Linked DNA regions of Caenorhabditis elegans. The protein of the gene in region 2 interacts with the protein of the main gene of each other region in a pairwise test. Each region holds a gene or a part of one and is shown on either strand. Other genes may lie near its edges. The genes, in order: ugt-3 and gln-3.

Region 1 (4,360 bases), on a different chromosome or scaffold from region 2:
TCCCTTTGGTCTGAGTTCAGTTAGCCGACAATGTATTTATCTAGTGCCATCCACATCCGACATGGTTCGATGCACCTTTTTCTCTCTCATACCACGATGAAGGATTCGGAAAGTCTCCTGAAGGATGTTTATCATCGACATGTCCGCCACTATAATACTATATACATTTGGTTCCATCACTTCGAAAAGGACGACTTTTCTCTCGAAGACTCTGAGACCCCATAAATTGGATTTGGACACGTTGCAGAAAGCCATGGCAACGGATCCTTTCCAAACCTCCCGTGAGCTGTCAACCGCACTTCAATCCTATCAAACCATCATCGTACGGGGCTGGGAAGCTCTTGGAATGAAGAAAATTATGGGTCGATTCATACCTCACTCTTCGACACAAGCCAACCATGATTTTTGAGTGGATGATTCCATTTCACCCCTCACTCTCCATGGGGCCGATCGATGTTTGGGCCGACTCATCACTGGAACCGAGAAGTGGGTCCTCCATGATAAGAACCACACGCGTGCCCAGTGGTTTGTAGAAGGAGAAACCCCACAGGGTGCCGCCAAACCCGACCTTAACCCCAAAAACGTCATGCTCTCAGTGTGGTGGGGAGTGTACGGCCCCATCAACTGGGAACTGCTTCCTGGGGGCAAAATAGTTAATGGGGACCTTTAAGTTATCTAACCACAAAACCTAAGGAACATATTCAATCGTTCACCCCTGAAGGACGAGCAACTCTACTTTCAACAAAACAACGCTTATCCCTACGTCACGAAACAAGTATTGCAGGAACTGGTCAGGTATGAATGGATGATTTTCCTTCACCCACCGTATTCTTCAGACCATGCCCCATCTGCATACTGACAGTTTTCAGATATGACTCGTGATCTCCGGGAAAGAACCTTCAATACCCATGGAAGTGTCGAATTGGCACTCAAGCATTATTTCGACTCGCGCCTGGAAGGGTTCTGTGAGCAGGGCCTTCATAAGTTGCCCACACGTTGGCAGTACATTGCTGATAATAATAGCAAATAAATATTATTCTGTCGTTTCTCTTGCTCCGAGAAATAAACGATTGAAAAAGTCACAAAGACTTCCGGTTCAACCTAATATATAAACAAATAACTTTCGTTGTCGCGGTTACAATAATTCCAAGAATTGTAGAAACCCAATAACATAGGTAGAACTGTCATACTTCATACTGTCACAATTGATCAACAAATTCACAGAATAACAAAAAATTTGAAAAATTCCATGTATTAGACATCAGACAGGAACAATAATTGATAGTTTTGGATACGTGAAGCCAATGTTTTTGAAGTCTATTGGAGGCATAGATTTACCAGAGTAAAACTAGATTTTCATAATAAACTTATAAAAATTATCAAAGCAAATTTCAGGCAAATCTCTAAATTGACAAACATTTTTGGACACTTTCGAGATGAACTACTTACATGAATACATACTCTAATGCTGACTACACATTCCATTTCTTTATTTTTCTTACGTCTTTTGTTTCTTGTAATTTTTCATCGAGAACAGAGAACATAGAAATAGACACTCCAAGTAAAGAGAGATAATGTTAAAATGCAAGAGACGGTTTCAAATCGGGCGCTGATCATTTGAAAAGTTTGCAACTGAACTTAGTCTGAGTGGTATAAAATGCCTGAAAAAAATTAAGAGAATATGTTGAAGTCTAATTCTCGAACTCAAAATGAGGTACTTATTATTATTAGCATTTTTTCCCGTTGCTTTCGGGTTCAATTATCTTATTATTTCCCCAGTTTTTGGGTACAGTCATATGAAATTTATGGGAAGAATTGCAGACATCCTTGCTGATGCTGGACATAATGTGGTAAGGTTTACTTATTTAAATATTAAATTTCTTATAAGTTCGATTTTAGACTTTATTCCAACCAATAATTTATGATTACTATGCACACAAAAAAATTGTGAAGAATCCGAACATTGAAGTGATTAATTATGAAGTCGATGAAGAAGAAAAAGCTGCAGCTTCTGAAGCGAGTGTTTTCAAGTTTTTCTGGAAAGCAAAAGGATCTAAAAACCCAATCTCTTCTGCAAAAATTACATCAGAAAAACTTTACAAAGAGTTTGAGCATATTTGTAGAAGTAAGATTCATAGTTTTGTTTCAAAAATGCATTCATCAATTTTTAGAAATGCTTTTGGACAAGGAACTTCATCGTTGGATTCTATCGAAAAACTTTGACTCCCACATATCAGAGGCATTTGATTTTTGTGGTTTATGTAAGTAATAATTTAATTTACAATCAAAGTGAATAATCAATGTTAGATCTTGGAGACTTCTTGAAACTAAAATCACCAATCCCTCTCTATAGTGGAGTTCGATGTGGAGCAGCTTCATACGCTGTGGGTGAACCTATTCCATTGAATTACTTACCAACAGAGGGGTCTAATTATGGGAAGAAATCGAGCGCAATTGACCGATTAAGTGACATGCTTGGACTAACCGGTTATCACTTTCAATTCGGGATTTTGTTTGATAAACAATATGATCAAGCTTACCGATTAACTGGTGGAAATGTCCGAACTTGGCAAGAAATACTTCAAAGCTCCACGTTTTTCTTGACAAACTCCAATCCTTACTTATCATTTTCAACACCAACAATTTCAAAAGTGATTCAAATTGGAGGTTTCACTATTGAATCATTCAAAACAACTACACTCGATGAAGAATTTAACAAAATACTTTCGCTCAGAAACAACACCATTCTAGTGTCTTTTGGAACAGTTATTCAATCATCAGATATGCCAGATGATTTCAAAACTGGACTTATTGAAGCATTTCGCAGAATGCCAGATGCTACATTTATCTGGAAATATGAAGAGGATGATAAGACGTTGAAGAATAAACTTTCTGAAAACGTAGTTTTAAGCAAGTGGATTCCTCAGCCAGCTCTGTTAGCAGACAGTCGATTAGATTTGTTTGTGACTCATGGAGGTTTGGGAAGTACTATGGAAGTTGGATATGCAGGAGTGTCAAGTATTATGGTAAGTGAGATAATTCACTTCTGGTTTCACTATTTTCCTGTAAACTTTTGAAATATTTTTTCATCCAGATTCATGATTAGAATATAAAAATGTTTTACCACCCGCTAACCTTCTTGTATCAAACGTATATTTTCAGGTTCCTGTATTCAGTGATCAAGGAGTAAATGCAGAGATGTTAGCTCGCCATGGTGGTGCCATTGTCTATGACAAATTTGATCTTGTCGATAGCAAGAAACTAATGGAGACGATCCAGATGATTCTCAATAATTCTGATTACAGAAAGAATTCGAAACGTCTTTCTGATATTCTTCATAATCAACCAATGGATCCGAAGCAAGTACTTCTAAATCATTGCGAATTTGCGGCTCGATTTGCACAGGTTGATAATTTAGAACCATACGCCAATAAATACAACTTTATCGAATTTTATTGTCTTGACAGTCTAGCATTGGTTGTTTGTACAATTTCTGTTGTAGCATTAGTGATGTTTAAGATCTTAAGTTTTGTTGTCAATAGCGTAATCGAAAAATTGAAATTAAAAAAAGAATAAATAAATAATTTTTTTCCAATATTCACTAGTCAGTAGAAAGGGCATTATCAGTGCATTTATGCATAGAACAGTCCCGTGGAATTGTTCCTTTTGTTTGTCAACGAAATTTTGAACAGTCTGTAGTCCATTGGTTAGTTTGCAGTTGATACCCCTAAAAAAGTAAGTTATCAAAATGAAGAGAAATCGAAGCTGATAATATTTTATGTACAGGTACAGAAGGTAAACCAATACACTCTCTTCTTGTTTGCCATGCTTCAAATTGTACTTTTTTTGTTTATTTCAACTCTATTCGGTAATGCATATTCTTATAAATTTCTAGTCATTTCACCGGTTTATGGATTCAGTCATATGAAATATATGGCAGAATTAGCAAATCATTTGGCAAGAGCTGGAAATGATGTGGTACGTTTTTTTATTCAAAAAGTACTCAAGATTTCAAACGTGGCGTTACTTTTTGTTCTTCGAATAACGTCTGCAATTCTACTGGGACTTTTTGAAAAATTATTGTTAAGGTATCAATCTGTACAAAAAAGTGTGAAAATTATTTCTAGTTTAGTGGAGAAGCTGTATGTTTCAAACAATTTTATATGTAAATGATTTTCATATCCGTTTCTAATACAGGCTTCCAATTTTAACTATTCTTGCCAGAGCTCATACGCTTTTCACAGTTTTTTTTAATGAGAACTGGAAATCGATATGTGCCCCTCAATCTGGGAAACTTGATCCGCATATATTAATTCCACATATGATTGTGTTAAAGGCACGCAACCATTTTCGGGCATTT
Region 2 (5,405 bases):
TATTATGATAAATTTTGAATTGAATAAAAAAAATGTTTTACTACCTGCATTTTTTTTCTCATTTTTTCTTTTAATTTTGATTAAACATTTTAATGGAATTCTTAAAAACTCTGCAAAATCTTTTTTGAATTTATTCCATATAAAAATAAATAAATAAAAAATTGCGCCGACGTTGAATTTAATTTTGAGCCGCAATTTTTAATTTTCAGGGGTTTCACACATTTTTATATTGAAATTTATCAATTTTTGAATAAATCTTAAAAGAAAACACAAAAAAATTAGAAAAACGCCTGAAAATTAAAAATTGATTAAATTCAACGATGACGCAATAGCTCGTAAATCTACACAAATTGGTTAAAAACTACAGTAGTTTTGTCTCTTCCCGCGGGTTCATTTGCGCGGCAGATATGGCGATTTTTCTGATCTGTGGATAAACACGTAATATGAAGTTTGAATTGAATCACACTGAGAATTTCGAACTTCCATGTTAATTTTTTCATCATGTTTCACTACTTGCATATTCTTCTCAGCCTCTCCTTTAATTTCAATTTGTCGATCCACGTGGGATTCTATTTTCAAAAATTTAGTTGAAAAATGTGATTTACTGTTTCAACATTACAAGATATTGCTTTGTGGTATTTTTTTAAATTTAATTAATATCCTGTTTAAATACGGATATAGGTTCATCAGATTTTTTTTTGAAATTTTGAAACTTTTATTTGTACAATTAAAATGTAAATGTTCTTTACAAAAGATTAATAAGTATTCAAAAAAAAAAAGAATCATCACACTCAAACTATCCGAACTCTAATGCTTGGTAATATTTGGTGCCTGGCTTGGAACATACATCATCGACAGTTTACGCTCGGCTCCCTCAAGACACACAGTTCTGACGAGGGCTCCGGTGACGGTGTACGGGTCACAGTTGGATGATGGACGGCGATCTTCGAAGTATCCGTATCCATCATCGTCGGTGGAGCGTGGAATACGAATGGATGAGGCACGGGATGCGACTCCGTAGGAGAACTTGTCGATCGATGCGGTCTCGTGGAGTCCGGTCAAACGACGCTCGTTGTCTTTTCCACCGTGTGGATCGTAGTAGGCAATGTGTTGTGGGTGGACAAGGGAGAGCTTGTTGATGGCGGACATGATCTCGCTGAAAAATTAAATAGTAAGTATGACGTCATAGTTTTTCGAAAACTAGGTAAGATTTTTCTAAGCCGAATTTTAATAGAAGCCCGCGGTGTGTATGGCCTGAAGAACAAGCTAGGCCCAAAACTTGAATTTTCTAGACCAAAAGCCCCCAAGAAATTTTAGGCCATAAAAGGATTGTTATCCATCAAGGTTCCTCAGCACTAGGGCTGGCATATCGGGCGTCCGTAGTCCGGTTTTCACGGCGGCCGACAATTTACTAGTTTAGTCACTCATTGTAACATTTATGATTAAGTATAGTGAGTGGCAAAACTCAGAAAATGTCGGCCGCCGTGAAAACCTACTCCTCGGAAAATGTTCAAGCACTAGGCAACTATCTCACGAATCAGATTTTTGATGCCCTAAAAACTCACTCAATTCCTCCTGGATTTCTCATCTTATCAGTGGAGAAGTTGGTGTGACATCCGGCTCCGTTCCAGTCTCCCTTGATCGGCTTACAATCGAACGAGGCGATCACGCCAAACTCCTCGGCGACACGTTGCAGCAAGTAGCGAGCCACCCACAACTGATCTCCCATCTGGATTCCTTCGCATGGCCCGACCTGGAACTCCCATTGTCCGGGCATCACTTCGGCGTTGGTTCCCGAGATCTGGATTCCGGCGTAGAGGCATGCGCGGTAGTGAGCCTCGACGATGTCGCGACCGTAGACCTTGTTGGCGCCGACGCCACAGTAGTATGGTCCTTGTGGTCCTGGGAATCCGTTCTTTGGCCATCCGAATGGATGTCCGTCAATGTCGAGAAGGGTGTACTCCTGCTCCATTCCGAACCATGGGTGCTGGTCGGCGGCCTTCTCCATCACCTCCTTGCATCGCTGGCGGTAGTTGGTGGCTGGAATATTCACAGTTTAGAAAAAAGGATTAAAGGACGATCCGTTGTGCTACACTCAAAATAATAAACGGCCCCACATTTTTACCGTCCCCTCACGGGGAAAAGGCAAAACTCGGGACCAAACCAATATTAGGCCGCCGACATCTGACGAGTTCCGCGCGCCGCTGCGTTTAACTCGTTGTGGGCGTGGCAAGCTGTCTCCGCCCGCTGCGAGTTAAACATAGCGGCGCGCGGAGTCCGTGAGATGTCGGCGGCCTGATATTGGTTGGGTCCCGAATTTCGCCTTTTCCCCGTGGGTGGACGATAAAAAGGCGGAGCCTAAATATTAGGTTTTCTGCAATACACACCACGCAGTTTTATTTTTTTGAGTGTATGTACTGCGGATCTAGAAGTCAGGTACACTTAGTGCTCCCACTGGGCTATAACTTAAACCACGTCCTAGGCGGGGACTATGGCCGATTATGCAGTCGTGGATTGCTCCACTTCCCAATAGAGGCTGGGCCGAACTTGAATTCGTGACCTCCAGATGGCTAGCGGCCACCACTAGCTATCCTGCCCCTCATTGTTTTGCGTCTTGAAAAGGAACTTTGGCCAGTTCATAAGTTCACTTATCAACCGCCCGTCTTATCAACTCGTGGTCAACCACCCCATCCCTCTGTACATAGTACATCACTGTTGACCCAACAGATGAGCCTCCGAGGGCGTCCGATTAGCAGACGGGGGGCAAAGATGGATGTGTAGTCTAATCTAGGAGGCATCAAAGCACACATTATGAAAAATATACCATAACTGGTTCTAATCAATTGTTAATCAAGGACTACGCGGCACTGACCACCTGACACTTGGACCCCCACTCTCTCTCTCTCTCTCTCTCTCTCGCCTTCGTCGTTTATCTCTACCTATCTCTTCTCTCGGTGTCACCATCGAACTTCCAAATACTCACCGGTTGGCTTCTTCTTGTTGTCATAGGTCTCGCACATCACCAACTTGTTCTTTCCCTGCCTAAATGGGTCTGGGTAGATGGCGACTGGCTTCAGGTAGACGTCGGAGTCGGCTCCCTCGGCTTGACCGGTGGATGATCCGTCAAAGTTCCAAATTGGGAGCTCTGGAAATCGGAGGGAATTGTTGTAAGGTAGCAAGATATGGGGCTTGCATCGAAAATTTGAAATATTTTGTTAAAGTTGCTACGTGGAATCCGAAAATCTTAATTGAAAATTCATACTTTTAACAATTGCCGTTTCAATGACATCTAAACTAAACTAAACTAGAAGCATCTAAACTAGATGTTCTGGAATTTCTGCAAAAAAACAAAACTCACTCTCTGGGTCAGTTGGCTCAAAATCGAAGGTTCTGGTCTTGGCACGAATGTTCTCGCCGGATCCGTCAATCCAAATGTAGAGGGCCTGGTACATGCCCTTTTGGTCCAAGTTCAGGAACTTTTGCAGGACCTGCTTGTCGGTGGCGAATTGACTGCGGAGTGATTGAGCCATTTCTGTAATTAGAAGGTGTTGAAAAATGCGAAAAAAGCGTTGAAAATCATACGCGACATGTCTGGGAGAGTAGGAATGGATGGTAGAAACACTAGTGTACACTGTTTTATAATAAATTGATATGATATTTATAGTGACAAAAAGGAGAGCTTAGGCGGGGGGCAGAGTACTCGGTGATAAGGCAAGTGTATACGAAGTGAGTGTCTTGGAAAGCAGAGTGAAAGTTCTTTGAGACTGATGGGCGGGGCGGGGCGTTGGGTCACGTGGTTCTAGATAAACCTAGATTTATGTTGATTTCGATGACATGGGAAGACAATAATAGTGGGAGAGACACGAGAGTGTTCAGAATGGAGAGACGCAGAGAGAAAACGGGGGAGATAAGATATGTGTATGCATACGTGCATTTGGTCTTTGGACTTGGTCCCGCCAATTTGCATAGCGTTTGATTTTTGGTCCGGTAAAGGTTTTTTTCTGGGAAATTATGATTTTTAAAAATATAAAAAATTTTAAATTTCATTTACCAAATTTCATTTTTTTTCCAAATTTTTGCTGTTTCAAACGTTCCATTTCTTCTAGTAAACTTTAAGAAAAGTATTTGCAGTTTCTATCTATAACATTTTAAAATAAATTGAATTCTTCCAAGAATTGCAAGTTTTTAGCATAAAAACTCAAAAATAAATTCGAATTTTCATTGAAAATTTTTTTCTGTTTCAAAATATTAATTTAAAAAAAAAGAAAACTTTTATTTTCAATACATAGCCGTTTTGGTCAGTTTTCTCAAAGATCTGTAGATTCTATATTTCTTACACCGCCCGACTGCCCATCTGCACTTTGTGCACAGAGTAGCACGGACACCCAATCTTACGTTGTAACAGAGGGGTCACTTTATTTGAAAAACGAGAGACACATGCGTTTTTCACGTGATTCCACGAATTTTCTTATCAACTCTCAATCTTTAGTGATAAAAAAGAACATTGAACCTATGAAAGAAAAAATAAAAGATTTGAAAGTTGGGGAAGTGATACAATGATTGAAATATTTTTGAAATAAGAATGTTTTTTTGAAAATAAATTTCACTGTTTCTTACTGTCTATAATTTATCCTGATTTTTTTCGCTTACGTTATAGAAAAAATAAAAGATTTGAAAGTTGGGGAAGTGATACAATGATTGAAATATTTTTTGAAATAAGAATGTTTTTTTGAAAATAAATTTCACTGTTTCTTACTGTCTATAATTTATCCTGATTTTTTTCGCTTACGTTATAGAAAAAATAAAAGATTTGAAAGTTGGGGAAGTGATACAATGATTGAAATATTTTTTGAAATAAGAATGTTTTTTTGAAAATAAATTTCACTGTTTCTTACTGTCTATAATTTATCCTGATTTTTTTCGCTTACGTTATAGAAAAAATAAAAGATTTGAAAGTTGGGGAAGTGATACAATGATTGAAATATTTTTTGAAATAAGAATGTTTTTTTGAAAATAAATTTCACTGTTTCTTACTGTCTATAATTTATCCTGATTTTTTTCGCTTACGTTATAGAAAAAATAAAAGATTTGAAAGTTGGGGAAGTGATACAATGATTGAAATATTTTTTGAAATAAGAATGTTTTTTTGAAAATAAATTTCACTGTTTCTTACTGTCTATAATTTATCCTGATGGGGGCAGATAGCTCAGTCGGTAGTGGTGGCCGCTAGCAGTCTGGAGGTCACGAGTTCAAGTCCGGCCTCACCCCCTAGGTTCACCCAGCCTCTATTGGGAAGTGGAGCAATCCACGACTGGATTATCGGCCACAGTCCCCGGCTAGGACGTGGCTTAAATTACAGCCCAGAGGGCAGTGTACCTGAATCCCAGATCCGCAGTGCATTGCAC

What was found.
Region 1: the proteins of gln-3 (region 2) and ugt-3 interact in a two-hybrid assay, tested with the Caenorhabditis elegans proteins (one large-scale study listed by BioGRID).

What each region holds. Positions count from the first base shown.
Region 1 is NC_003283.11:12,797,543-12,801,902, reverse strand, and holds ugt-3 (glucuronosyltransferase), read left to right. Parts: upstream 1-1,631; 5' UTR 1,632-1,709; coding exon 1,710-1,850; intron 1,851-1,899; coding exon 1,900-2,125; intron 2,126-2,171; coding exon 2,172-2,261; intron 2,262-2,307; coding exon 2,308-3,026; intron 3,027-3,162; coding exon 3,163-3,576; 3' UTR 3,577-3,595; downstream 3,596-4,360. Other genes in the region: ugt-6 (UDP-glucuronosyltransferase), read left to right, coding at 3,826-3,978.
Region 2 is NC_003282.8:16,167,090-16,172,494, forward strand, and holds gln-3 (Glutamine synthetase), read right to left. Parts: upstream 3,590-5,405; coding exon 3,583-3,589; intron 3,533-3,582; coding exon 3,359-3,532; intron 3,342-3,358; exon of another isoform or gene 3,321-3,341; intron 3,146-3,320; coding exon 2,984-3,145; intron 2,041-2,983; coding exon 1,566-2,040; intron 1,157-1,565; coding exon 808-1,156; 3' UTR 692-807; downstream 1-691.